7 linked regions of the Cricetulus griseus genome follow. The protein of the gene in region 3 binds, or shares a complex with, the protein of the main gene of each other region. Links are inferred from orthologs where the notes say so. Each region holds a gene or a part of one and is shown on either strand. Other genes may lie near its edges.

Evidence for each region.
Region 1: Usp39 (region 3) and Lsm5 share a complex: the UniProt entries of both Homo sapiens proteins name them as parts of the U4/U6-U5 tri-snRNP complex. The link is inferred for Cricetulus griseus from reciprocal best matches to the Homo sapiens genes USP39 and LSM5.
Region 2: Usp39 (region 3) and Prpf31 share a complex: the UniProt entries of both Homo sapiens proteins name them as parts of the U4/U6-U5 tri-snRNP complex. The link is inferred for Cricetulus griseus from reciprocal best matches to the Homo sapiens genes USP39 and PRPF31.
Region 4: Usp39 (region 3) and Lsm8 share a complex: the UniProt entries of both Homo sapiens proteins name them as parts of the U4/U6-U5 tri-snRNP complex. The link is inferred for Cricetulus griseus from reciprocal best matches to the Homo sapiens genes USP39 and LSM8.
Region 5: Usp39 (region 3) and Prpf8 share a complex: the UniProt entries of both Homo sapiens proteins name them as parts of the U4/U6-U5 tri-snRNP complex. The link is inferred for Cricetulus griseus from reciprocal best matches to the Homo sapiens genes USP39 and PRPF8.
Region 6: Usp39 (region 3) and Snrpd2 share a complex: the UniProt entries of both Homo sapiens proteins name them as parts of the U4/U6-U5 tri-snRNP complex. The link is inferred for Cricetulus griseus from reciprocal best matches to the Homo sapiens genes USP39 and SNRPD2.
Region 7: Usp39 (region 3) and Lsm3 share a complex: the UniProt entries of both Homo sapiens proteins name them as parts of the U4/U6-U5 tri-snRNP complex. The link is inferred for Cricetulus griseus from reciprocal best matches to the Homo sapiens genes USP39 and LSM3.

Annotation. Positions count from the first base shown.
Region 1 is NC_048601.1:84,604,347-84,608,588, reverse strand, and holds the start of Lsm5 (U6 snRNA-associated Sm-like protein LSm5), read right to left. Parts: upstream 2,801-4,242; 5' UTR 2,725-2,800; coding exon 2,679-2,724; intron 1,760-2,678; coding exon 1,664-1,759; intron 1,386-1,663; coding exon 1,358-1,385; intron 436-1,357; coding exon 363-435; intron 1-362. UniProt on the Homo sapiens protein: Plays a role in pre-mRNA splicing as component of the U4/U6-U5 tri-snRNP complex that is involved in spliceosome assembly, and as component of the precatalytic spliceosome (spliceosome B complex).
Region 2 is NC_048602.1:21,556,712-21,559,541, forward strand, and holds the end of Prpf31 (U4/U6 small nuclear ribonucleoprotein Prp31), read left to right. Parts: coding exon 1-44; intron 45-147; coding exon 148-220; intron 221-754; coding exon 755-883; intron 884-968; coding exon 969-1,067; intron 1,068-1,904; coding exon 1,905-2,030; 3' UTR 2,031-2,330; downstream 2,331-2,830. UniProt on the Homo sapiens protein: Involved in pre-mRNA splicing as component of the spliceosome. Required for the assembly of the U4/U5/U6 tri-snRNP complex, one of the building blocks of the spliceosome.
Region 3 is NC_048601.1:64,076,363-64,080,456, forward strand, and holds the start of Usp39 (U4/U6.U5 tri-snRNP-associated protein 2), read right to left. Parts: upstream 2,801-4,094; 5' UTR 2,768-2,800; coding exon 2,503-2,767; intron 413-2,502; coding exon 343-412; intron 1-342.
Region 4 is NW_023276806.1:207,804,434-207,808,590, forward strand, and holds the start of Lsm8 (LSM8 homolog, U6 small nuclear RNA associated), read right to left. Parts: upstream 2,801-4,157; 5' UTR 2,680-2,800; coding exon 2,649-2,679; intron 1,729-2,648; coding exon 1,688-1,728; intron 1-1,687. UniProt on the Homo sapiens protein: Plays a role in pre-mRNA splicing as component of the U4/U6-U5 tri-snRNP complex that is involved in spliceosome assembly, and as component of the precatalytic spliceosome (spliceosome B complex).
Region 5 is NC_048600.1:88,943,112-88,946,611, reverse strand, and holds part of Prpf8 (pre-mRNA-processing-splicing factor 8), read right to left. Parts: intron 3,255-3,500; coding exon 3,048-3,254; intron 2,940-3,047; coding exon 2,776-2,939; intron 2,660-2,775; coding exon 2,533-2,659; intron 2,426-2,532; coding exon 2,233-2,425; intron 1,812-2,232; coding exon 1,624-1,811; intron 1,457-1,623; coding exon 1,218-1,456; intron 1,025-1,217; coding exon 878-1,024; intron 701-877; coding exon 490-700; intron 1-489. UniProt on the Homo sapiens protein: Plays a role in pre-mRNA splicing as core component of precatalytic, catalytic and postcatalytic spliceosomal complexes, both of the predominant U2-type spliceosome and the minor U12-type spliceosome.
Region 6 is NC_048602.1:28,213,612-28,217,708, forward strand, and holds the start of Snrpd2 (small nuclear ribonucleoprotein Sm D2), read right to left. Parts: upstream 2,801-4,097; 5' UTR 2,647-2,800; coding exon 2,645-2,646; intron 538-2,644; coding exon 358-537; intron 1-357. Other genes in the region: Qpctl (glutaminyl-peptide cyclotransferase-like protein), read left to right, coding at 3,370-3,579, 3,950-4,093. UniProt on the Homo sapiens protein: Plays a role in pre-mRNA splicing as a core component of the spliceosomal U1, U2, U4 and U5 small nuclear ribonucleoproteins (snRNPs), the building blocks of the spliceosome.
Region 7 is NC_048601.1:52,288,973-52,293,231, forward strand, and holds the start of Lsm3 (U6 snRNA-associated Sm-like protein LSm3), read right to left. Parts: upstream 2,801-4,259; 5' UTR 2,672-2,800; coding exon 2,651-2,671; intron 155-2,650; coding exon 44-154; intron 1-43. Other genes in the region: Xpc (DNA repair protein complementing XP-C cells), read left to right, coding at 2,937-3,030. UniProt on the Homo sapiens protein: Plays a role in pre-mRNA splicing as component of the U4/U6-U5 tri-snRNP complex that is involved in spliceosome assembly, and as component of the precatalytic spliceosome (spliceosome B complex).

The sequences.
Region 1 (4,242 bases), about 21 Mb from region 3:
ACTATCATACCACCTAAAACTCCCCATGTGCTCCTCATGGACCAAAGCCACCACTGTCTCTCCCCTATCCTTCAATTCCCATTTCCCAGATCATCAACATCTGCTAGTAATCCCAACATTAATTGATGCTTAAGAGTTTCAACAATGGTTCCTGATGAACTAAAGGTAATAAAGATTAATAAGCAAATGAATCTTAAGGCCCAATGCTCTTTCAATAGCTGCGTTGGGGCACTGATCACTGAAGGCTCCCTTCCCATCCTCAGCATGTCTAGACCGTGAACACTGAGCTAAGCAGCAGTGTTCTGTAATCCCTGCCCTATAAAAGTAATTAAATTCAAAATAAAACAGCTTTAATGTCTTACCATCGTTATATTATTTCCATTTAGTAAAATCTGATCTAATTTTGTAATCCTTCTTCCTTCTGGTGTAATTTCACTAAATAGATAAAAAATGGAGTCAGGATAAACAAGTATTCAAAGGCAATTATTTTGGAAACGCTTTTCCTCTCTAAAAATTATTCCTGGGGTAAAGAGGTTAGCTCGGTGGCAGAGCACCACCTGGGTGGCAGAGCACAAGGCCCTAGGTTCAATCCCTAGCATCAAAACTGTTATTCTTACATATGAATGAATGTGAACTCATACAATTACAATAATTTTCAGCAATACAGTCTGCCCACCAGATAATAGTTATGTAAATATAAAACTTCATAAATACAGAAGTAAATATAAAGATATATTACAAAGATATAATATAGAAGTAAATGTAAAGTCACTATAAAGCGTGTTTACACTAATTTCTTAGAAATTCAGGAATAATGACATTAAGATAATAATCTTCTGGCCCAACCTCACAAATACCGGTAAATAAGTCAGCATTAAAAGAATTCCAACAGGTAATACTTTATCCATCATACTAATCCTGCTATTGTAGTTTAAATGAAAATGGCCTCCACGGGCTCACGTTGACAGAACTGTTTGGGAATGGCTAGGAGGAGTGGCCTTGTCTGAGGTGTGTCACTGTGGCGGTGGGCTTTGAGGTTTCAAAAGAATAAATTATAACCAGTTGGCTCTCTGTTTGTCTCATGGTTATCTCAACATAGAATCACTTAGCTATTGCTCCAGCCCCACACCTGCCTGCCTGCCTGCCTGCCTCCACACACCTCACCATGAAAAAACGTGGACTCTAACCCTCTGAAACTGTAAGCAAGCCCACGCAGTAAACGCTCTCTTTTATAAACTGCCTTGGCCATGCTGTCTCTTCACAGTAACAGAAAAGGAACTAGGGTACCTGCCTTTAATTCAAAAAGATATTTCCTCCTCTCCTCCCCCATTTATTTGTCATTTTTAATACTACTCACAACTCTGTGACATCTTCCAACACCATATCTGAAATTTGTTGTTAAGAAAATAAACAAGGTTGAATTTATTCTGGTTTATGTTTTTGTTTGGTTGCAAAAATGTTCAACACAATGGTGCAAATTCAAAAGGTTTGTTGTTGGAGAGAACCCTATCTGCTTTCTGCAAGCACACCTCTTAAAATGTTACCAAGTTCCTGGAAAATAAATAATTTTTAATGTAATAAACAGAAATATGTCATCTGTCTACAGCTCTTATATTAATACATCTTTAAAAACCTGTTCCATGAACACTTTTTAAAAGGATACTGACAAAGTCATCAAATCCTAGAAGTGTACCAACAATTTCTTTATCACTCTTCATCACAATGTGAATTCTTGATCCTATACACTTGTCCACGAGCTCTGTGGAAAGAAAAAGATTGTTTTACCCACTTATTAGTTCAACAAGCATTCGAGTGCTCACTTTACTATTTCCGTATCATTAAAGAGAAACAAAAAGCAGTCACTAAATAACTACATCTTACACAAATCTCCGCTCAGCCATTAGCACAAATGTTTGTCTTGGCCTTCGCTTACCTCCTTTTTTGCTGCAACTAACGGGACTGTGATTTTGACTATTTGGTTAATGTATGAAAAACAATTACACCACAAGGTGGAAACCATGTTAGTTTTTCCTCATCAGTGTTTCTGCCGATGAACATACCCTGGAGTGGACCCTGCAAGAACTTTCCATCATTGCCACATTGACTAACTTCACCGGCGCCAAAACATGACAGAGGAGAGGCCTCACGACCGACACCAGCTTCCTGTCACTTCTCTCATCTTGCCTTTAGCTCTGTGCTTGGAGACCAACCTGAGCATCTCCGTGGCCAACCGAGAACTGCTCGGCACGAAGTCTTTCAGTGTGCTATCTGAAAGCAATGGCCGTAGTTTAAATTCGTTATTCAACAGTACCCTGGCACGGGGAGGGAACTGCTTGATGGATGGATGAATGAATGAATGAACGAACGAATGACGGAGCTAGTCTCCAGATTTCTTTCTAGGAGTCACTGTAGACCGTGGCGCCCTCCTCACACCGCCAAATGCAATACAGGGGCTCCCTAAGGTGTAGACCGGAAAGGCCACACTGCGAGCTGGGCCGGCACCGGGACATCTTAACCGGCGAGCTCACAAGCAAGGCCGAGGGCGTCCTTCACCAAGTGGGGCCCCCGCCGGCCGCCGACAGACAACGGGCTCGGTCTCCGCAGCGGCCCCAGGGGCAAGCCTCCGGCGCGGGCGTGGGGCCGCAGCAACCCGCCCGCGCCCCGGGCGAGACTTTTACCTAGCGGCAGGAGCTGAGACGGGTTGGTGGTCGCGTTAGCCGCCATGGCCACGCCGGAAGTGGCATAGGGCTACGGGCGCAGACTTTAAAAGAGCGCGCTTCCGCCCTTTCCCACAACTGGCTCAGACGGAACTAATCGGAGGCAGATCTGGCGATCGCGGGGTATCCAAATGGATCACCGACAGACTCGATAGAATAGTTCCGCACTATATCGGTGCCACCATCCCGTGCCCCCGAAGTTTTGCTAACTTGACAGTTTGTCTCCTCTATATCTGCCTGAAGACTACAACATACGAGATCTCTGAGTCGGCTAGTTTTCCTCTAAAAGGTTGGATCTTTCTTCAGAGCCATAAAATCAATGAGGATTTGCTATCACCAACTCGTTCTGCGTTTGTCTCAACTACTACTCATTTTCTTAAGGAATCCTGTACTTTTAAGCCTAGAGTACTGAAAACCCTTACGAAGCATCTTTTAAAAATATTCTATACCGAGTATTCAAAGGTTTTTTTTAATTTTTGCTACTTTATTTTATTCTGGTTTTTCGAGGCAGGGTTTCTCTGTATTGTTTTGGGGACTGTCCTGGAACTCGCTCTGGAGACCAGACTGGCTTCGAACTCACAGAGATCCGCCTGCCTCTGCCTCCCCAATGTTGGGATTAAAGGCGTGCACCACCAATGCCCGGCTTCTTCTTGTCCTTTTAGAAGTCTAGTTTATTGCAGGCTTTTGCAGTTACTAACACTTATTGATTTACAGGTAACTGCTAGATGTCACTCCGTATGTTGGTGTCATCACATTTGGAAAACATGCTATCACACTTGTGTTTTGGAAAAAGATAAAAAGCTGCTGTGAGGAGTGGCCAGCAATCCCAGCGCTTAAGAAACAGAAGGAGGCCACAGTTGCCAAGCATGGACAACTTAGTAAGACCCTGACACGAAATAGGAAATAAAAACTAATGAGAGCTTAACCACCTTGCTTAGCACTAGAGTGCTTTCCTAGCATTCATGACTTCATGAGACCTGGGTTGTCCCTACTTAAAAAGAAAAAAAAGCAGCAGGCAAATTCTTTAGCTTCGGTTGTCTCATTTGTGTCTGAGGGACTTAAACAATCTGAATAGGAGAGATCATAATCAACACCATTCATTTTTACAGTGTTTGGTAAGCACCCCTCATACACCGTTTAATTAGCAGCTCGCTGGGTATATAAAGCAATGTACAGAAAAGTCTTCTACAAGAGTGAGTGAGAAGAAGGACAAATAAATTGTATGTATATAGCACTATGAAGTTTAATAGATAAAGCAATGCCTCTAGGGATCCTTGGAAACTCCACTCCATTCTCAATTTCAAGCCAGTGGTGGCTTTTCCCCACAAACCCCATTCCATAAATCTCGTGTACCTACTAGGTGTCGGGGCAATTACAAATACATTCTTTTATTTTGGTTTTTCAAGACAGGGTTTCTCTATGTAACAGCCCTGGCTGTCCTGGAACTCACTTTGTAGACCAGACTGGCCTTGAACTCACGAAGATCCACCAACCTCTGCCTCCCAACTGCACAAATACACTCTTT
Region 2 (2,830 bases), on a different chromosome or scaffold from region 3:
CCTGCTCCCCTTGATGGGCAGCGGAAGAAGCGAGGGGGCCGCAGGTAAGGGGCTCTGGTGGCGCTAGAAGCTGGGAAGCGGGGTGGGAGGGAGGCTGGCACCTTCCCAGCCGACTTCCTATGTCCTGTTGACTCTCACCTTCCCCAGGTACCGCAAGATGAAGGAGCGGCTGGGGCTGACAGAGATCCGGAAGCAGGCCAACCGCATGAGCTTTGGAGAGGTCAGGCTTGCTCACAGTAGCAGTGGGACCTTGAGGGTTCTCTGCATGTCCTGCTGCCATCCCTCCCCTCCACCCTGCAACCCTAGAGCAGATCTGGGGCTACCCCAGCCGCATCCCTCCTGCCTAGCCTCTCCTCTCAAAACACCCTACCCCATGGAGATCTTTGCAGTTCTGAGCCCGCTGCCCTCCCACCCAGCTCCCCATGCCACCGTGTCTAACCATCATCCAGGAGGTCCCGAGAGAATCCACTTAGGCGCCATCTCAGTAGCGCAGCCCATCCCAGTTCTTGGCAACTTAACCAGAGCTTAGGGAGCAGTGGCCACTCTCTGTTTAGGTCAGGAAGCAGTTCTTCCTAGGGTTCCCTGCTACATCCAAGCAGAGCTAGGCTGGGCTCTTACAAGGTCATTTAGTGCAGTGAGTCCTTCAGGCATCCGTGAGACCTGCTGATTGGAGACTCCCTGGGTCCCAGTGGACAGGCCTGGGGGACTGGCCGAATGTGGCCAGCTTCTTAACAGTGGTCACTCCCCTCTCTAGATTGAGGAAGATGCCTATCAAGAAGATTTGGGCTTTAGCCTGGGCCACTTGGGCAAGTCAGGCAGTGGGCGTGTGCGGCAGACACAGGTGAATGAGGCCACCAAGGCCAGGATCTCCAAAACACTGCAGGTATGGCCAGGGCCCATGGGAGTGGGCGGCAAGGAGGGCACGGAGGTCTGTGAGCCTGCGTCATGGCCTCCCCCTCTCCCTGCAGCGGACCTTACAGAAACAGAGTGTGGTATACGGCGGGAAGTCTACCATCCGAGACCGCTCCTCAGGGACTGCCTCCAGTGTGGCCTTCACTCCACTCCAGGTACCACACCCTCTCCTACCAGGCATGTAGTGGGGTTGTAGCAGCCCTGTTGACCTAACACATGAAGAGCTTAGGCATCCGGAGCCACAACTCAGTGCAGATGGCTGGCAGTGAGAGCTGTCACAAGCTCAGACCAACTTTGGCACTGGACTCTGTCCGTGTGGCCCAGATACTCTGAGCTTCCTGTCCTCACTTTGAGATAGCCCCAGTCGTCAGGGTAGCCTCAAGGTGGGTCCCAGTGTCACAGCCCAGTGGCCCTGGACAGTATGAAGCAGAGTGGCCTCGGGTTACTCACCACAGAGGTAGGCAAATGTGTCCGGTAATGTGACAAGCCTGCTAGAATGCATACTCTGAATCTGTGCCATCTTTCTTCCCGGCTTCAGGTATAGTGATAAAGAGACAAGCTGTGCCTTTTGGGGGGGTCATGGGTTGGAGGACAGATGAACGAGTCAAGTATATACTGTATTAGGCCATGGGTGCCAGAAAGCAGCAGCAGGGGTGAAAGGCGAGTGCCGGCATTGTCATCACTGTATGGCGTGAGAGTCGCCCGAAACTCTGGCTGGTCATGTCCCTGTAAGACTCAGTTTCCTCATCCAGAATCAGACAGACAGGAGTGGTGTTTTTTTTAGCATCACCTGAGGACGTTAACAATGCTGATACCCAGGCCCTGCCCCTAGACCCACTGGGTCAGAATCTCCCGAGCTGAGGGAGACTCCAGGGGCTGTCAACAGTTCCGTGTCCGCTAGAATGTTCGGGGAATGTGACATGTCTGGTTCCCATACAGCAGGGAGGCCTGGGCCTCCCCACCTTACCTGCCCCCCTCCCTTCCCAACCCAGGGTCTGGAGATTGTGAACCCACAAGCAGCTGAGAAGAAGGTGGCAGAGGCCAACCAGAAGTATTTCTCTAGCATGGCTGAGTTCCTCAAGGTCAAGGGTGAGAAAAGCGGCACTATGTCCACCTGAAGGGGCCAGGCCCCGGGTGGCCACCCACTGGAAGGACATGGACAACTGGAGCTTTGAAGTGACCGACCTCCGGCAAGGAAGTTGTGGTGGAGGCAGCCTGCCCTGCTCTGTCCTTGGCCCAAGGCCAGAGCATCCAAGAAACGGGGTGAAGAGCCTCGGCCCGTCTCCCCAGAACCCAGACTGCTGCTGCCCCAGTTAAATGGGCGGAGGTCTTCCTCACACTCGTCTTTTTTACTTACATGGGTAAAGGAAGTGGTTTTCTAGAAAGAGTACAATTAAATGCACAGTGTCAGGCTCTGACCAGAGGGTGTGATTATTTGTGAAAGACCCAGAGGAGTCAGAGCTATGGGGTTTCCAGTCCAGGTATCTCTTCTGCTCCTGTCCTGGAATCTAAGAAGAGAAAAGCCCCGTCCATTTCTGACATCACCACCCACCCCCTGAGAACCTCAGCATCACGGCCAAACAGTATGGCCACCACAAAGCTCCAGGGCCCAACAAAGGTCATAGGATTATTGTTGACCCTCAGGCTAGATGCCTCCTTGGTCCAAGATCCACATCTGCACGGTGAGGCACCTAGGAGACCTGGGGAGTGTGTGCAGAATGCACCCAGCACCGGGCTGATTGGGGAGCCAGTGGTTTTAATCCATGTTGACTGAGGGGGCCATGCCTAAGTACCCTGCCCTGGGAGGCACAAATGCCAGCCAGGTAAGCAACAGAAACCATCTTTGGTGTGTTAGGAATCTGTGATTCTGCAGGTTAGCAAGAGTCACTGCTGGGCTCTGTTTTTCCTAGCTTGAGCT
Region 3 (4,094 bases):
TCCAGGGCAGCCTGGTCACAAACTGAGGTCTAGGACAGCCAGAGATACACAATAAACAAACACCCTCACTTGGCCACTTTAAAGGGACAACATGAAAGAACGTGGCAAGAAGCACCATTTTCAAGACAGAAAGGCTAAAAAGGAGAAAAGTTTGAATGAATTGTTCACTGCTGAGTTTGGAGAATTTTCTACAACATTTTTACCATATTCTGTATCTCAAATCTACTGATTTGTTTGTATGGTAATGGGAATTAAACCTTGGATCTCTGACATGTCAGGCTAAGTACTCCACTGCTGAGATATGTTCCCAAGACTTTTCCTCATCCTCTCTGTATCACTGACCTGTTAATGGTATCCAGGTATGGGCAGTGACGACTCCTCCGGTCCTCAGAATCCACTCGGCCATTCTTTGCTGAGAAGAAATCCATCACAGACTTTAAAATGGAAAACTTGTGCTGGGATGTAACTCAGTGATAGAGCACTTAATTAGTAAGGGCAGGATTTGCTCTTACACAGCATCATAAATGGAGGACAGCAGACTACTCAAATCACAAGTACATTTTGTTTTGTTTGTTGCTATTTCCCATGGATATTTCCCATGGAAATGGGAAAATCTGATCAACTAAGATTAAGATGAGCTTTTAATTTTCTTGTAGTGACAACATTCCAAAAAAACTGCAAACTGAGATTAGATCTATTACACACATAACCAACAAGAGATTAATTCACATATTACATAATCTAAGCAAGTGAAGACTGCTTAGTAAAGGTATTTGCCACCAAATCTAATTACTAGAGTGCATGGGAGCAAGAGAGAAGAACTGACTCCCACAAATTGCCCTGTAACCTCCACATGTACACCATAGTACATGCACACGTATATATAAATAAATGTACTACACCTTTTTTTTTTCACCATGTGTGGTGGTGCACACACTACTAATCCTAGCCCTTGAGAGGGAAAGACAGGAGAAATCTGTGAGTTCAAGATCTACAGAGAAAGTTCCAGGCCAGCCAACACTACTTATTAAAACCCTGTAAATAGCCAGGCGGTATAGCTTCTATCGTCTTTAATCCCAGCACTCAGGAGGCAAAGGCAGGCAAGATCTTTGTGAGTTCCAGGCCAGCATGGTCTACAGAGAAGTTGCAGGACAGGCTCCAAAGCTACACAGAGAAACCCTTTGTCGAAAAACAAAGCAAATAGACCCTATAAATAAATAAATAAATAAATAAATAAATAAATAGGGGCTGAAGATATGGTTCAGGGGTTAAGAGCACTGACTGTTCTTCCAGAGGTTCTGAGTTCAATTCCCAGCAACCACATTGGTGGCTCACAGCCATCTGTAATGTGATCTGGTGTCCTCTTCTGGCATGTACTGTATACATGATAAATAAATAAATAAATAAATCTTTAAATAAATATCTAATGAGGTGCTGGGTAGTGGTGGCTCATGCCTTTAATGCCAGCACTCAGGAGGCAAAGGCAGGTGATCTCTGTGAGTCCAGAGGCCAGCCTGGTCTACAAGCTAGTTCCAGGACAGCCAAGGCTACACAAAGAAACCCTGTCTCAAAACAAACAAAAACAAAACATAACCCAATATATCACAAGTATTAAGATAAGTTGAACATCTTAAATCTACCATTTGTCTAAGAATTGTGATGGTTCTGAGAGTTAATCCTACTAGCAAGCTGATTTGTTAGCTTGCCACAGCTTCATGATCACTGATGGAAGGCATGTGATATCACTGACTAAAACCAAGAGTCTATTAAAGCAATAACAATAGCCAATGACATGACATCTTCACCAGTTCCTGGATTCAAGTCACACAAGAGAATAGAAAGAGCCAGTGCTCAAACTGGGTTGCCTTATTAAAAAACCCTGCCCTTAAAGAAGGGTATCCTATCTGCTTGTGAGTTTACGTCCCTTTAGCTCTATTATGGAATAATAATACAATCTGTCTCCCAAGGGTAGTCACTATATCAACATCCTTGACAAAACAATACAGAACCCCTACAACAACCTCCTGCAAAACCCAGGAGAAGCAGAATTGTCTCCAAACTACTGAACTAATAGTCAGTACTTTAATCGGGTGCAGAGAGATCCCGGCTGAACGAGCTTATTCCAGATATTACAACAGGACCCTGCATCTTAGGAATTTTGCAAAAACTGTAGAGGGGAATACCTGTAACGCTATCAGCAGAGCACCTAACTCACGTGGGCTATTCGACAAAGGGGAGCCGTGATGTATCGTGACAACGGTTAATATTAGAACTGTCTTCACCTGAAGACAGTCCAGTCTGGATTCAACCTTGGACAGGGAAGCGTAAGAAGCAAGGGAAAGTAAAAAGCAGGCGAAAACTGGCAGGAGGTGAAGGCGAGAGGAAGGTTATCTCTGGCTACAACAGCAAGTTCCTGAGACCCTGTCTCAAAAAAAGAAAGAAAAGGGAGAAAAGAAGAAAGCAGGCGAGGGTGGAGGGCGCACCCGGCCCGGCCCCGCGCACCTCGCACCTCCCGCTCGGGCTCCGAGTCCTCGTCGGCCTCGCGCTCCCGCTTCACCCTCACGGCCGGGGGCGCAGGCGCCGGGACCTCTCGCGCAGTCGGCTCGGCTTCCCGCTTCACGCGGACCGGACTGCCCCGAGAGCTCGCCGCCTCCGGCTCCCGCTCGCGGTCTCGCTCCTTCTTGATGCGACCCGAGCTACCCCGCGACTCGGACTCGCGCTTCCCGCGGGTGGAACCATGAGACTGCCGCTTAGACCGGCTAGACATCGCCGCCACCGGCTAGGAGCTTCCGCGCTGGCGCCGCGCACGCTGGAGGCACGCGGCCAATCAGGAACCGAGCTGGCCTCTGACGCGCAGCTCCCTACGAGTCGCTGAGAGGGACAATACAGACGGCTGGACCCTAATGGGCACTACTTGCCCAGTTGAGACAATTCTTTATCCATCATCTCTTCACAGATTAAAGAGATAGGAACCTTTCACAGGCTACAGTGATTGTAGAAGAAAGGAAGCTGGCATTCGACACAGTTTGTGTCTCGAAACGACAATCCAGAGAAGTCCTCTGATCCAGAGCTGATGACCTACACAGAAAAGAGAGTCAGTATTCCCAAATTTATCTCCTCCATTCAGGTTTGTACCTGGGAACTTCAATTAGTACCATATTTAGAGGGATCCTGAAATTAGAAAATTGCAAATACTCTGCCAAGGCTCACTTACTGTTTAGCTAATAAAACTCCAAATTCAGTTTTACCACTGAGGCATGCCTTAGTCCCTGCCTATTTGAACAGTTCCATTGAGGTATAATTGACATACAGAGTACCACATATTTGACGAGTGTAATTAGCTAAATTCTGAAGTGTGAACACTTGTGAATCCATTGCCATAATCAAGAGAAGAAACTTGTCTCACTCCAGAAATGTCCTTGTGCCCCTGTGGATTCCCACCCAAACCACTGGGTGACTGCATTTCCTAGAATTTTATACTCGAGAGTTATACAGTGTTAACTTTCTAACTTGGCCTCTTTTACACCTGACGTACAGACAATCTATTCCTTTACATTGCATTGCAATATTCCATCACACAGTTGTACTAGTACTAGTCTGTCACTGTTCTAATAATGAGTTCCTGATTTCCACATTTTGAAACAAGGACTTAAAAAAATATAGACTCAGGCTGAGGCAGAAAGATTCCCAAAGTTTAAGGCCAGCCTAAGCTACATAGTTAGGCTGAGACTATCCTGAGCTCCATAGCAGAAGGAAAGAAAGAAAGGAGAGATGGCTCAATATTATTAGACCCTCAAAAGCCTTGGCTCCTCCCATGGGCACAGTTAAGCAAGTGGTCTGGGCCGGGACAGTGAAGCCCCAATGTGGCTGGAATAGGGGCTGGGTATGGGTGGAGAAAACTTACCTACCTGAGCACTTGTCTGCCTCATTACCTATATGAGACAGGTGTTCTTAGTATGTCCACTTGAAAATAAGCAAGCAACTGGGAAGATGGCTCAGATGGCGAGAATGCTTACTGTACAAGCATGAGGACCTGAATTCAAATCCCAACACCCACGTACAAAGCCTACAGTAAGTAAACTGGGTGGCGCACG
Region 4 (4,157 bases), on a different chromosome or scaffold from region 3:
AATATAGTAGACATATGTAGAACCAAAATAATCAAGAACTTAACTTGAAGGAAATACTCAGGAAAAATTTTGTGGCTATAGCAAAATGTAATATAATGAATGCTGTTTAAGTTTCTGAAGAAATAGCTTCTTTTAGATTTGGCTGGTTAATCTCTTGGGTACACCTTTAAACCCCCCTGTTCTGAAAAACCATAATTGTATAGAATCTGAATGAAATAAATAGAAACTTGGAATGTAGAAATTGGGAAGAAAAACAAATTAGACTATTTATTATAGCACTTGGCAAATGGTAGTTATCATAAACCCCTATAAAGGTGCTCTCATCTTCATTATATATGCAATTATTTTATCAGGTACGATAAAGACAGAACTACTGAGTGTCAATACAAAGTTTCTGTTTAGCTTTTCTTCTATAAGCATTTTCTAACAGAAATATAAGAAATTTAAACCTGAGGATTTCAAAAATCAGTTATTTGTAAATTATCTGATAAATGCAACAGACTTCTTTCAATGTTTAAACAAACATATTCCTAATTTCACATTCCAAATTGCCTACTGTTGACAAATTTAGAGTGTAAACTCACCACCACTAAACAAAAAACCTTAAGACACCTGTTTCCTTTATGGGTTTTGGAATAAAACTCAATTTATAACACACTTGTTATACTGAATCTCTGTGAAAGTAACTTGGTTTTTTTTTTTTTTTTTTTTTTTTCTAAGCCTGGTTCCTAATCTACAATATAAGTGATAATTCTTCTTGAGATTCCTTGCAGACTAAATAACACAAAATTCCTAGCATATGATAAGCACTGCAATTACTATGGCAGTCTATCACTTTGACTGGTGTTGCTCACTAAAGAGCAAGAAGAATCAAAGGGATTCAGAAGAAGATAAGGAGGCTGAAGAAATGGTTAAAAGTATATACTATTCCTCCAAAGGACCTAGTGTGGCTCACAATGGCCTGTAACTCCAGCTCCAGTGGATCTGACAACTCTTCTGGGCTCCTTGTGTAGTGTACCACCACACATGGCAGACACTAACAAACAGACATACACTCAAACCTAACTAAAAATAAATCTTTAAGAAAACAAAATCACGAATGGGAAAACATGGGATTAAATTACAGCCGTGAAAGAAATATTGCAGAGACAGTAGATGAGGCAATGGTCCCAAAGATCATACCCCAGTGAAGTCACAGCTAACTTAGTTTCTGAAACCACTCTCACAATATTTGAAGAACAATGAAATCACTGAATACACATTTCTCAGATTGGATCTCCCCATTGTTAAGCAACTTACAAGAGCATATGCATAATTTGTAAATCCTTAAAGAGCTCTAAATGAAAACAAACAAAAGGAATTGAGGTTAAAAAAAAAAAAAAGAATGCAAGAAGAAAATTAGTCGGCACAGCTCTGCATTCCAGATCAGAAGACTTCAAGGTTTATTAGGGAAGCTGTATTGACAGCCAAGAGATAAAAGTCTGTCAAAACAGCTGGATCTCCAGCATACATGCGGGCAGAACACTGTGTACTTTAAATTTAAACATTCTTAAAAAAATAAAACAGCTGGATCATAAGAACACTAGAATCGAGGTTATACCGTGGTACCTCAGCATTAGATTAGAAACGTAACTTCAAATTTACAATCAATAAGCCTACAAAGAAGCAGACTGAAAATGCCACTCACCACAATCATTCTCCCATCAGAAGTGATAACGGCGACGGTTCCTGAGAACTGCGTCAAGGAAAGTATTTCTTAGAGATTGCAGAGTGAAAACTTTCAGCCTGGTAAGGAAATGGTCTCAATTACTTAAAAAAGAAAAAAGTGGCGGTATGAAGGTTCGACACAGCCGCTGCTCACGAGGTACAAAACTGAAGGTTTGAAACTTGTTTCAATTCTATCCTGAAAACAGTAAATCTAATGGGAGAAGGGTAGAGTCTGACATCTGACCCTGGGTTTAAAACAGCAATGGGTTCCAATCCCTAACACTGAGAGATACAATCCCTTCCTTTCTCAGACCAATGTCTTCACCTCTGAAATAAAAACTGGACGCGTAACTATCAATGTTGCACCGTTGTGGCGCGTTAAGCCCCCTCCCCTAGTCCAAGACCTGGTCATAATTAATGCCACCAAGTACAAACAACCCTGGATTCCTTAAAAGCTCTCTGCTTTGAACGCCTGAGTTTCTTGTCTGTACCAGATGTGCTCGGTGCACGGTTTCTGTCCTGACTTTGCAGCAGCGCTTGTAATTTAAAATCTCACCTGGGATCTTAAGAGCTCCTTGCCTGTCACTGAAGCCCAACACGATTCCAGGCTTTCCTTCTAAGGGTATCGCATGGACACTTCCAGGGGGGGCCCGAAATTCACCTTGGAGAACCAAGCACCTTTCTATGCATGCGAGCCTCGAGCCAACCGCAAGCCCTGAGAAAACCGGTCCAACTTATTCCCGACGCTGGCCCGCACAAGCCCTAAGGGATCTGCAGCAATCCAGCCAAAGGCTCCTTGCAGGGAAGCTGTGCCGGGTGAAAAGGGCCCGGGTCTGTCCGGATGACCCCACCGCCGGTCCCGAACCCCGAGTCCTCCCCGCCGCCCCGGGTCTCCGCCCCCGCCCCGCCCCGCCGCGGCCTGGGCAGCCGCCCGAGGATACGGTTGATGTAGTTCTCCAAGGCAGACGTCATGCTGCTGGGCCCGGAGGTCCCGGGAACAGGAGACAACCCGGCAACAAGGAGACGAGACACGGCCGGGCCGCCAGAAGCACGTACCGGTTCCCGCCGCCCGCCCGCCCGCCGGTGAGCACAGATACCGCGAGACCAACGAGTACCTAGCAGCCAATCGGCACTCGCAAGGAGCCGACCAAACCGGAAGCCGGGCGGGGACTGACTCGCGCGCGTGCGCAGCGTGCATCCGCCGCGCTTCCGGGTGCCGGTCGGTAGAGGGAGACGGACAAAGGCGGGGACGGGCGGAAGTGTGGGCTGGATGCAGGCGCTGGGAGGCTCGCCAGCGGAGGGGCGGGAGCCGCGGTCGTGTGGGAAGATCGGCTGTGCCGGAGACGCCCTAGATGAGATGTTTGCTCGTCCTTGGGAGGAAGGGAGCTCTAGCCTTCTCCAGCGCGAGCCAAAAAAAAGTTCCGAAAGACAAATGGCGCGGTGCAAAGCGAACGTCTTTGTAGCCCGCACGAGGTGCATTTCCAGGGAGAGCCCAGCTATCAAAAGTGCTCGTGCATTCTGCTTTTGGCTCTTCAGGTGTCACGAAGCAGCCTTAAGGAAACGAACTCCAGAGAGGGAAAGGTGTGCGCGATAGATGGTCACTTTGCACGGCTAAATCGAGGCTTAGCTTTTCTTGGGGATGAAAGTTGTAATTAAGAAAGTCTACATTGCCACTCTGAAGGGACCGATTAGAGGAAAGCGTAAACTAAGCACCAGGCTGGGTTCTAATTCTATCCCTGATAATTGATGTCCCTGTTGTAAAGTCACTTAAACTCCTCTTGATCTGATTTCACTTAGATGCTGTACAAATGTGTTAGTCAGTCAACCGTACATAACCAATATTTTAAAATTTTAGTGTGTGTTGAAAGGGGAAAATTAATAAAATCTAAAACCCAGACTCCAAAGCCCAAAAAGAAAACTCAGTTCCCAAAAAGCAGTCCAGCAGACAAGGTTAAACAAAGGGCCTCAGGACTCAAGCCCTTAGACCAGATATCACACCCTAGAATGGCACTCACATTCCTCTGGTCCAAAGAGGATCAGATAGTTATCAATTGTAGAAGTCCCCAGCCCAGGAGACTATTAACAAACCCATTTCCTCTGCAGTATCCTGCTTAATTAAACCTTGCATGAAGCATAACAATCTTTGTCCTGTCCTGTGTAACTACTGAAGTTATGTAATCTTGGGGCTTCCAGCCCTACAATTTTCCCTTTTAAAAACACCCCTCAGTCGAAAGTGGGTACTCCTTTGTTCCCAAACGAATGGGGTCCTTGCTGCAGCTGGTGTCCTTGAGTCAATAAAGAAACCTTTATCCTTGCATTTGGTGAGTCGTCTTCTTGTTGGCAGGTTCTTTGGGGATTCCGAAATCTGGGCACAACAGTGTGTGTGTGTGTGTGTGTGTGTGAGAGGGGGGGGGGTGAGTCGTCTTCTTGTTGGCAGGTTCTTTGGGGAT
Region 5 (3,500 bases), on a different chromosome or scaffold from region 3:
AGAACCCACAGAGTGGAACTAACTACAAGCTGTCCTCCAAACTCCACAAAAATAACAAGGCAATAAATAAGATGAAAAGCTAACATGGTATGCATGCATTTAATCCCAGAATGCAGATTCCAGGGAGGATCTTGGTGAATTCATGGCCAATCTGGTCTATATAAAATTCCAGGTCAGCCATCACTGAACAGTAAGACCTGTCTCAAAGAAAAAATAAAAAGGGAATAGCAGGGAATGGTGGCACATGCCTTAATCCTAACCTGTGGGAGGTGGAGCCAGAGGCAGGCTGATCTCTGAGACAATCAGGGCCAGTCTGGTCTACAAAGTAAATTCCAGCCAGGGCTACACAAGCAAGGATTAATCGTGATCACTACTAAGCTCAACCCACCTAAGGGTCACTGAGCTGATAATGAAAAGGTGTGACTGTTTTTCACCCCATTGATGCCAGAGTTACAAGGGTGGTAAAGTGATGTCCTTCCTAGACTGTACCTCATTCTGAAGGTTCCAGACCCCATCCTTGTGGGTGAATTCTTCATAGCTGGTACGGCACTTAGGCAGGATGCGGCACTCAAAGCCACACATGTTGAACAGCAGGTTGGGGTTGTCTTTACTGTACACAGACACAAAGCTATTCTCCCATTGTACTGTAGTCACTGATCGTGGCAGCCGGTTTTTGATGTCCCAGAACACTGCCCGACCCCTGTCCACAGAGAACAAATAAGAATTTCAGTCTGTTGAAGACACTTGCATTCATAGACCAGACAGAAGATAGGCCCATATTCCTCCTACCCAAGATATAACCTCCTCAATTTTAATTGCTTTCTGGGTCCCTAGGACTGGCATTCTTTCTACTCCTACAAGCCCAACTGAGACTCACAAGTTGACATCATGCTTCATGAGGCGCATTCGGGCATCTCGGGGCCAGCATTTCTTGTTATTGTAGCCAACAATGTTTTCATTATTGGGGTCTGGATGCTCCGTCAGGTAACGCTGGATCAGATCCCGAGCTTCATCTGCTGTGAACCTACATTAAGACAGGGGACACTTTGAGAATGCCAGCTCCACAAGTGGGGACCCTATGCTACTCTAGACTTCATTTCACTTCATAGCTTCAACTCAGCAACTAGTCAACTAAGCTACAAGAGCCATTTCACAGGCAGGACATGCCTCAGTGCTGTGAGGACATGCAGGTTAAAGGATCAGACCATGTTCTTTACCTGAAGAAAATATGAATGCGATCAATGTATCTACAGAAGAGTCGGATTGGGTGAGCAGCCTCAGTGGCTATGTCCTGGAAACTGAGAAAGTCGTTTGGCATCTGAGGAGGCCCAGCCATCTCACTGGCCCGGTGCAATCCCAATACAAGCAAATCCATCACCAAGCCATAGTACTGTACAATGAAAGAGGCAAACTGCAGGCCTCTGATGATCCCATATGAGTTTGTATGGTTCATGTCCTAGGAAAAAAAAACAAAAACAAAAACGCACAACTCTTAGTATGGCTAAGACTGGCTCTGTCCCAGGTGCTTCAGGGTCCAATCTCCTTCACTCTGCCTCAGCAAATCCTAACTCGATGGGTCAGACAAACCCCCTGACACATTTTGCTACTTGCTCCAAGACAGACCTTATAGTTAATGACAACATTGTTCTTGGCTGTCATGTAGTCAGCTATGTTGTGGTCCACAATGAGTCGCAGCAGCCTATTAAGCAGGGTCAAGTCAATCTTTTCATACATCTTCTCAAAGCGGGACTCCAACATGACATTGCACTCGCCCTCACTGGTCTCCCACACATCCTGCAGGTTATTGATGCCTAAAAGAAGCAAAAAGACAAGAGTTTAGCAGATTAGAAATTCCTTTCCAGGTTTAGTAACTAACTATAGCAGTCTCAACACATTCCAAAACCCTCTACCATTCATTCATTCTGGCTGCTACAAGTGTCAGTTTTGCTCAACATCCACACTATTCATTTTTCCCCCTCTCAAGACAGGGTTTCTCTGTATAGCTCTGGCTGTCCTGGAACTTGCTTTGTAGACCAGGCTGGCCTTGATCTCATCAATCTGCCTGCCTCAGCCTCCTGTAAGCTGGGATTGTAGGTGTGTGCCACCAGTGCCAGGCAATAGCACTCATTCTTACCACGCAAAGAGAGCAAACTGAATGTGCAGCCTGGGTCAGAGTTTTTACATGGACAGAATCACCTTTCTCTGCTGGGTGGGAACTGCAGCGAAGTTTACCTTGGCACCACTTGTAAACGAGCAGTGGAGGCGGCTCCGTGTCGGCAGGCTTGATCCAGGGTGGGAAAAGACGGCGCTTATCTGCTTCATACCACAGGTATTGGTCCAGGTAGGCATCAGTTATTTTCTCCAGGGGCTCCACGTCATACACTGGCACCAGGTGGCTATAGAGATCCATAAACTCAATGCCTACCTGTGGGACAAGAAACCTGGTTCACATCAATTCACCAGCCAGCCTGGCATCCTCTAGATGCCAAGGATAAATAGCACAGACCAAAAGGCTCAGGGAGCATCACTCACTTCCTTAAAGGCTCTCTGCGTGAGGAGGTGACGCTTGATGCGGGACAAAGCCTCATGGGGGTTGTCATAGGCTTGCTCGATCAGACCCAGCTCTTCCCTCTGAGACTGGTTTAACCTAGACTTCACACTAACAAAGCAAAGGAAAGGTGAATGAGAAAACCCAAGAAGTTGCAAAAGGACTACACCTTTCTTTGGACTCGGGCCACAATGCCATTCCCTATTACCCTCCCAGTCATTCCTTACCTATAAGCTTCCTTGAGGCGTTCCAGAGCTAGGATGAGCAACTTGGTGTCATGCTTGTAGGAGAGTGGAGGGAATGGGATGGGAGAGAATCTACGGCTTTCCAACCAATGCACAGTGGTAGTATACACAGCCACTGCTTCTTCTGCTGTAATGTAAGGCCCATCCTGCAAGGTGAACATGAATGAAGCTAGTCTCCCACTATCATCCAAACCAATACAAAGCATGATCTCCACTCTGCAACCCACTTTACCACCCAGCCCAGCTGGTCCAACCTTCAGGTAATTGTGCTGCCGTTCCTGTTCTGCCTTCAGGTACAGGCGGGTGAGGCGGCCCAGGTTCTTTTTGCAAACAGTCTTGTCTACAGTGGCCCCACGGCGGATTCGTTCACGGTTGTAGTGAGCAGTATTGGTCCACCAATCAGCCTTGGCCTTAACATACCGAAGAATCATATTCTCTATAGGTGTTGGCAGGCCTGGGACCTGAAAATACAAACACAATGAAAAAGTAAGTTTCACGCCCATGTCCCAGCATAAAGGCAGACAGATCTCTTGAATTTGAGAGCACCCTGGCCTGCAGAGTTACAGGTCAGCCAGGACAACACAGTGAAACCACCTCAAGAAAGGAGGGGTTGGGGTAATAGAAGGTGGAAGGCCCTCTAAAGGTACTCTAATCCTAACCTCAGGAAGATGAATGGCTATGTCTTCTTGGAGGCAGAGGAAAGCCTA
Region 6 (4,097 bases), on a different chromosome or scaffold from region 3:
TGGGATAGACAGATAAGACAAATTTTAGCCGGGCGTTGGTGGCTCACACCTTTAATCTTAGCCCTCAGGAGGCAGAGGCAGGTGGATCTCTGTGAGTTCGAGACCAGCCTGGTCTACAAGACCTAGTTCCAGGACAGCCTCCAAAGCCAGAGAAACCCTGTCTTGGAAAACAAAATAAAACAAAAAAACAACAAAAAGAGCACCCCACACTTTCTGATTTTTTATTTTGGAGGCTGGCCTCTAACATGATCATGGTGATCCCTCTGAGTGCTGAGATTACAGGAGTTTGTCACCAACTTACTATCATTATGCTTCTGGAATAACCTTTCCTTCAGGCCCCTCAGACTCAGTGCTCACCTATCAAAGGCCTTCACCCGTCCCAGGAGCTTTTTGTTGTTTCGACAGTTAATGAGCACTTGTGTGTTGTTCTTGACCGACTGTGTGAGCACCGAGAGGGGACCAGTGTTGAATTCCTCCTCTTCCCGCTTCTGCAGCTCTTCTGGGGTCATCTCACTCTTGGGTTTATTGAGGAGACTCCTGAATAGAAAAACCACGGGTGAGATGGGTGAGCTTGGAAGTGTGAGTGATCAAAGGCACTGTCCAGTGTCTCCTCAACCTGGTCCCCAAATGTCCTTTTCAGAGGTGGGAGAGACATTGTCTATTTAGCCCGTTCCAGCTGTCTAACCACCAAAACCTCTCCCACCCACGCATTCCCCACGTCTTCACTGATGGCAACTCTATTCAGCGGGTTCTCTAAGCTAGAACTCTACTGTTTAATTGATTTCTGTTTTGGTGACAGGATCTCCTATAGCCCAGGTTAGCCTTGAACTTGCTATATAACTAAGGACGACCTTCAATTCTCAATTCTCCTGACTCCACCTCCCAAGTTCTGGGATTACAGGAGTTCAACATCAAGCCCGGCACTCTCTTAAAGGAAATCTACCCTCACATCTTGTCATCTGCCTCTACGACATATCCAGAACCTGGCTATTTCTATCCATGGCCTAATCTTCCGTTACCTTTCTCCTGGTGCCCGCCATCCCCACAACAATGTCTTACTGTGTAACCCTGGCTGACCTGAGACTCAGACTATCCATCTCTGCCTCCAGACCTCTGGGATTACAGGCATGCTGCCACTATACCCAGAACCCAAGGTAGCCATGTACTCTGCCCACTGAGCTATAACTCCAGCCCAGTGTTGCATTTTCAGTCTTTTTTTTTTTTTTTTTTTTTTTGTGGTAGCTACTCAAATTTCTTCATCCGCACTCTCCATCATCTAACACGTTCTCTGGTCTTCCTACCCCATTCCTTTTACCAGCCCCAGTGAGAAAAACTTTCTCTCGGTGGCACGGACCTTTTATACACCGTGTGTCTAACTTAACAACCAGTCTGTGTAACACCTGCTTGGTGAATAAACACATCAAACCATGGCAGTAGCTTGCTACTCTGAGAGTCTCCAGGCAGATTGAAAAAGCCCCCCTGTCTGTTTTCTACCTTATCCTGGTTAAGTCCCTCATTATGATTTTTGCTTGTTTGTTTTTTTTGGAGAGCCTTTCACTATTTTTTAATAGAACTCCCTTCCCCTGCCGAGACCTTTATCCATTTACGGCTCCCATTTAAAATTACTATTACTTTTGGAAACGGTCTCCATGTGCAGCCCAAGGCTGGGCGCGAATTCACCATCCTCCTGCCTCACTCAGCCTCTCTTGGGCATGTGCCACCAGGCTCAGCTTTCCTCTTACAGCTCTTTTCACAAGACTCAGTACAGAGCAGGGTCCCACGCCCGTTATGCTGTCGGGGCTGGAGAGATGGCTCAGGGGTTAAGAGCACTGGCTGCTCTTCCAGAGGTCCTGAGTTCAATTCCCAGCAACCACATGGTGGCTCACAACCATCTATAATGAGACCTGGTGCTCTCTTCTGGCACGCAGTGTATACATGGTTAATAAATAAATATAACCACATGGTGATTTACAACCATCTGTAATGGGATCTGGTGCTTTCTTCTGGCACACACTGTATACATGGTAAGTAAATAAATAAGTAAATCTTTTAAAAATAAAAATGAGGGGGGCTGGAGAGGTGGCTTAGGGGTTAAGAGCACTGACTGCTCTTCCAGAGGTCCTGAGTTCAAATGCCAGCAACCACATGGTGGCTCACAACCATCCGTAATGAGATCTGGTGCCAGATCTGGTGCCTTCTTCTGGCACGCACTGTATACATGGTAAGTAAATAAATAAATCTTTAAAAAATAAAAATGAGGGGGGCTGGAGAGATGGCTCAGAGGTTAGAGCACTGACTGCTTTTCCAGGGGTCCTGAGTTCAATTCCCAGCACCCACAGGGTGGCTCACAACCATCTATAATGGGACCTGGTGCCCTCTTCTGGCTCGCACTGTCTACATGATGAATAAATAAATAAACTTTAAAAAAAAAGAAAAAGAAAGAAAGAAAGAAAGAAAAGAAAGAAGAAGCTGTCCGGCTCCGGAACTCCAGACCCGTCCTTCCAGGCCCCACGCCCGTCCCCTAACACCTCAGGAGGAACCTCTGCCCCCGCTACGAGCACCCCAAGCCGACAGTCCACCTGCTAAGCCGCCCGCGTCCCTCCCTCCACCTTCGCGTCCCCGCGGGAGCCCAGCCCGGCCTCACATGGTGGAGGTTTCGATCGCAGCTCACTCCCGCCTCCGCCGCGTTGCCGTGTAGCCTCCGGAGTAGAGCGAGCGGAAGGCGGGACTTCCGCCTCCCTCCTCTGGGATCACTTCCGTCGGCGCCTGCGCAACCCGCCCCAGCGGCGTGGGCGTGTCACGTTGCCATAGCGACCCGGCGGCGGCTCTCTGCCGTAGGAAATGCCTGGAGGGAGGATTCCATGTCAGTGAGGATCACAATAGGGGGACCCCCCCGCTCGCGACTAAACAAAAAGGGGGAGCCGCCGGGCCTGGCTCGAATTAACTCCCCGTCTGGGTGGAAGAAGAACGGGGGCGGGGAGGAGGCGGGGACACGACACACAGCTCCGTTTCCAAGCGCGCGGCGCCCGCCTCCTCCTGGGGGGGCGTGGCCTCGAGCGAGCCAATCGCCTCCTTGCTTCAGGGATGGGCGCCGCCCGTTTCTCCTTGATGGACACCTGAGGGCGGCGGGCGCGGCTTCCGCACGGTCAGCCGCCACTCATTGGCTGCGCCTCTTGCGTGGGGGGCGGGCCCTCGGGTCTGCGCACCGCCTTCTGGAGAAGAAGGAGCCAATCGCGGCCGTCTGCGCGACGATGCCGCCGCCGCTCTGCTTCCCTATTGGCTTGCGTAAGCGATAGGGGGGAGGGGCGGAGCCTGGCCTGGACTCAAACCTCAGTCTGGGACGACCGGCTTCGGGGCCCCGCTGCTGCCATGAGTCCCGGGAGCCGCGGGCGGCCCCGGCAGCGGCTCGGGGATCGCGGCGCGATGCAGCCGCCCTCGCTTTCCAAGCGCCGCCTGCTGCCGCGAGTGCAGCTCCTGCCCCTGCTGCTCTTGGCGCTCGCCCTGGGCTTGGCGCTCTTCATGGTCTGGAACGGCTGGCACCCCGAGGTTCAGGAGCTGTCACGCAGCCGGGATCTGCGGGTGAGGCCTGCCTGGGGCCCCGGTCCCTCCTCCGTTTCCCGTGCCGAGCGGGTGACATCTCTTTCTCCATCACTCAAGCAAGCGCACGCCCCTGCCTCGCCGTCCTGGAGATGCAGGCGGTCAGCCTAGCAACGCGGGCAGATCTGAGCTCCGCGCCCCAAGACATCTGTTTGCAAGGTTCCCGTCAGGGCTCTAATAGTAGCAGGGGCCAGATCTGCCTTGAAGACGCCCTCCCGCTCTAGGGTGTATGCATGTGAACTCCAAGTCTTTGCTGCACCACCAAGAAGAGTCAGGGCTCCCAGGGGGCAGCGGCGCCCAGGAGAGGGTGGGGATGGGGGGTTTTGTCTTCATTCTTCTCTTCCCCACCAAGGTCCCGCTGATTGGAAGCCTTCCGGAAGCCAAGCTACGGACGGTGGTAGGGCAGCTGGATCCGCAGCGTCTCTGGGGCACTTTCCTGCGTCCCCTGCTGATTGTGCGACCCCCGGGTAGCCCCGGCAATCTCCAAGTGAGAAAGGTAA
Region 7 (4,259 bases), about 12 Mb from region 3:
TGATAGGGAAACATCTGGTTTTGAGATAATTTAAAAGACTTACATGTAATCTGCCTCGAAGCTCTCGGTCGTTTCTCATCTTCACATAAATTCGCTCATCCAAACTGAGCCTGATGAGATCCAGGGGCTCCTCTACGGTATTGGTAGTCTGTTGCTGATGAAGGAAACACACTTAGTAATGGACCACCAGAGGCAGAGTGGTGTTTCAATCACTGTTAAGCAGTGAAACCAAGGGCTAGTCACATAACCCGTTTATACCTTAGTCTAATTTGCCAAATGCAGAAAATAGTGTCTCCCCAATACTATTATTTTAAATGACATATGAAAGCTTAGAACGGTGCCTCGATGCTATGTAAAAGAGGAGAAAAACATTATGTGGAGAGGAGTTAAGTAGCAAAATGATGACTGAACTTCCAAAAAATCCAAAGTGTTAGAGTACCACTTAGGAACCTTAGCTTTATCTTTTGTATAATTCAATCATTTGAAAAACATACCTGCAATACCTATTCACACACTACTAAAAAGATCTGACAGAATTTGAAGTCAGTACAGCGCAGGTTAAGTTTAGGGTGCTAATTGGCTGGCAAGATGAACCTACCTACCGAGTAGTATAGTATAGAAGTTAAAAGAACTGAGTCATTAGGAAGCCTTTGTTCAATTCTGGGTTCTGACCTGGCTCTTCTGAACTGGGATTAAAAATCATGCCATTTCTTGTTTCAGACTCCTCATTTGCAAACTGGGGAGACCACATCTTTGCCTCAGAGATCTTATAAGGACTAAAGGGTCTATCTGAAGTAAAAAGGAAACACTTCTAAATAATTACCTTTTTTTTTTTTTTTAAGAGGCATGCCCATGACAGCCTTTGATGAGCAGCAAGTCTTTGCCTCTCAGATGCTGGGATTGGGCAGGTATGAACCGAGTCTGGAACTTTTAAGAGTGTGTGTGTGTGTGTGTGTGTGTGTGTGTGTGTGTGTGTGTGTGTGTGATGGGGTTCAAGTAGCTGTCAGAAGACAACTTTATAAAGTTCTCTCCTTCCTCTGTGTGTCCCAGGAATTGAACTCAGGTTGTCACGCTTACAAACTGCAAGCATTTTTACCTGTTATCTTACCAGCCCCACTCCCAGCACCTGTAATTTCTTATATTTAATATAATCTCTTGCTTGCTTCAAGATTTAAGAATGCATTCTTGGTCAGTCATTTCAGAGGAATGATAAATCAGAATTACTCTTCAAGAACTGTTGGAACAGGTTTCAAAGGTTAGAACTGGGATGACCTGGATTCAGCTATATGAAAGAGGTGGTTCCAGCCATCAAGAATTAGTAAGACCATTCAGCAAGCTTCTCCAGTGAGTACCTGGGGTCAGTGAAAGCTGAAAATTGTAGGCTGTGTAGATATGAGGCTGATGACAGGAAACAAACAACCCTCCCAGAACACCCCCAACCCCGGATCTCAACTGGTGCTTTCCTCCTCCCACCTTAGCTCAGCAGGCTTTTGTTAAGAAATCAGACAACCAACCACTGGATTACAACAATACAGAAGCCGCATCCCCTCAATGGAGCTCACTCTAGTATGGAGAGGGGCATATAAATACATAGCTGCAAAACAATGAAATCTGTTCCCACGACAGCCCTCTTCAGTCTAGGATGGCCACTGTCAATCCTTTTCACCCTGTAAGCTTTACATTCTGCCTTTTCAAAGAAGCTGCCCCTGAACATTGGGTTCGTTCCCTCAACTAATAACCTGCTGAGTGCTAACAGCACTGTCCTAAACCTAGGAAAGAAAAGCAAACACAGAAAACCCCCCTTTATTTTAAAGGTTTACTTTTATCGTGTATGTGAGCAGTTTGCCTGTATGCATGTGCACCACACGCTGACACAGTGCTCGGTAGCAGAGGCCAGAAGGGGGCAGAGGATCCCCTCCTGCAACTGGAGTTAAGATGCGTTGGGGTGCTGTTAAGCCAACATGTGGGTGCTGGATCCCAACCATGGTCTTCTACAAAAGCAACAAGTGCTCTTAACTCCTAAAGCAACCTCTCCAGCCACCCCCGCCCCAATGCCCCTATTAAGTAACTTACGTTCTAGTTATGGAAGAAATGTCTCAGATAAAGAAATACATATTTAAAATAACATGCTCTGTTATTTTAAATACCCGTGTGTGGGTGCGTGTGCGTGTGAGGGAGTGCAATCATTTCGGAACTCCACAGGTAGCTAAGGAATAGGGGGAAGAGCAGGTGAAGAGGGCAGCCTGTGATCCTGTGTGCACCCGATCTTGGCTTGCTTTCTCCAGACTACATCTCCACCAGGTTCTCTACCTCCCTCCCTCCCTCCTACTGCACTCCAAGTGAGCCGCTGCCTGCGCACCAGGCGCTTGCACGTATTACAAAGCTGGTGTCCACCACTACCTCACGCTTTCTGTCTGGTGTCGACAGCCGTTTGCATTTTACAGATAAAAGCCGATGCCGAGCGTGATGGGCAGATAGGCGGGTTGAGAAAACTCTAGGCCTGCGGAAGTTTCAGGAGCCGGCGCGGCTACGGAAGGCCGTGGTTCCTCGGGACAAAGAGAGACGGGCCGCTTCTCAGCGAGCGTGGAAAACGCGAACCCGACCTGGAAGCGCAAGCGCTTCCTCTAAGAGCGCCTCCGGACAAACTTACCTGATCTACGTCGTCCGCCATGTTTCAAACGCTGCGCCCTTTCCACCTCTCGCGAGAACAGGCACTCAGAAACGCAAAGGGTTCCACTCTCGGGAAGTAGACCTACTTTATTTTTGTCCCTTTGCGCCCCTGTAGTTTGCAGGGGGAGGGGTTTCTCCGGAGGGCGTGGTCCCAACCTGGTCAGGGGGCGCGGCCCAGGCATGGCCCGCCTCGGGGCGGGGCGAGCACGCGGAGAGTGTCTGCGGCCGGCTGGCTGCGGTAGCCCGGAGTGTCGCTGCCGGGCAGCATGGCTCCGAAGCGCCCTGCGGGAGGAAGGCGGCGGGGGCGCGGCCGAGAAGCCGAGAACAACAAAGCAGCCCGGCCGGAGGAGAGCGAGGCGGGTGAGAGGCTGCGGCGCGCAAGGCGATGGTGGCGGAGGCTGGGGCGGGCAGCGGGGCGGAAGGTCTCCACGGCCGGATGCGCGGCGCCCCGAGGGCCTCTACCATCAGCCCTGACCCCACCGTAACCCCTAGGACCAAGTCCAGCCTCTTGGCAAGTGTTGAGGGCCGATCAGGAAAAAGCTTCCCTGTTGCCCGGTGTCAGAGAGACACCAAAACTAGGACAGAGGGAGACCTTGTAGTGTGAGAATCTCTCTCCAAGTTGCATCCACTGTAATTCCGGCCCCAGGTTTGCGATGCGCTTCTTACCTTGGTCTTGAACCAAGGAGAAGCTTAAAATATTCCCATCTCAATAAATCACTCCTTCACCCACCTGTTAAAACACGCCTTTTCTTAACTGCTAGTTCGTCAGGAGGTCCAGTTCAGCTTCGGAGTCACTGAAATATGTGCCTAATTCTCTTAATTTCATAGCTGGTATCCTGTTCCTGTCGTTTTCTAGTTGAGTGAGTTCCCCTCTACATCAGATCTCCATCCAGCAGCCAAGTGATGTAGAACGACAACAAAACTTCATATGCCTTGGTCTTCTTACTTAAAACCTTCTTAGATGTGTGCTCTCCGTGTATAGCATCTACCTCACTTAGCATGTCTCTCTTCCAGATATTCTTATTTTAAACAGCAGCCCGGCCTAGAGCTCTGGGTTTTTCCTGTCTCATCCTCATGATCACAGGGATTACAGATGGCTCTTGGTGACTGCCTTTCTCTTCTTTGAATATACTGTTTATTTATCTGGAGGCTTGGCCTTCCATGTTTCTTTGCCTTAGAATGTTCTCCGTCGCTGTTGCTGGGTCTAATTTCTTCTCTACTTGAGGTCTAAGACATTCCACGGTCATCTTAAAGTAGTCATTCCTAGGTATCCTCCACCACAGAATCACAGTGATGTTCCTATTCACCTATCATTCTACAGTCATCTTCATTTCTGATTGTTTGAGTACAATGTAAGCTTCATAAAAACAAAGCTCATTTCCCTTCTTAACCTATTTTGTTCTTTCTCTTGTTTACATCTCTGAAAAAACACTTTACTATTTTTTTATTTTATGCATATGTTTTTTGCATGCATGTCTGTGCACAATGTGTGGGCCATGCCTGCAGATGTTAAATAGATGAGGGTGTTGGATTCCCCAGAACTGGAGTTACAAAAGGTTGTGAGCTGCCATTTCGGTGTTGGGAATTGA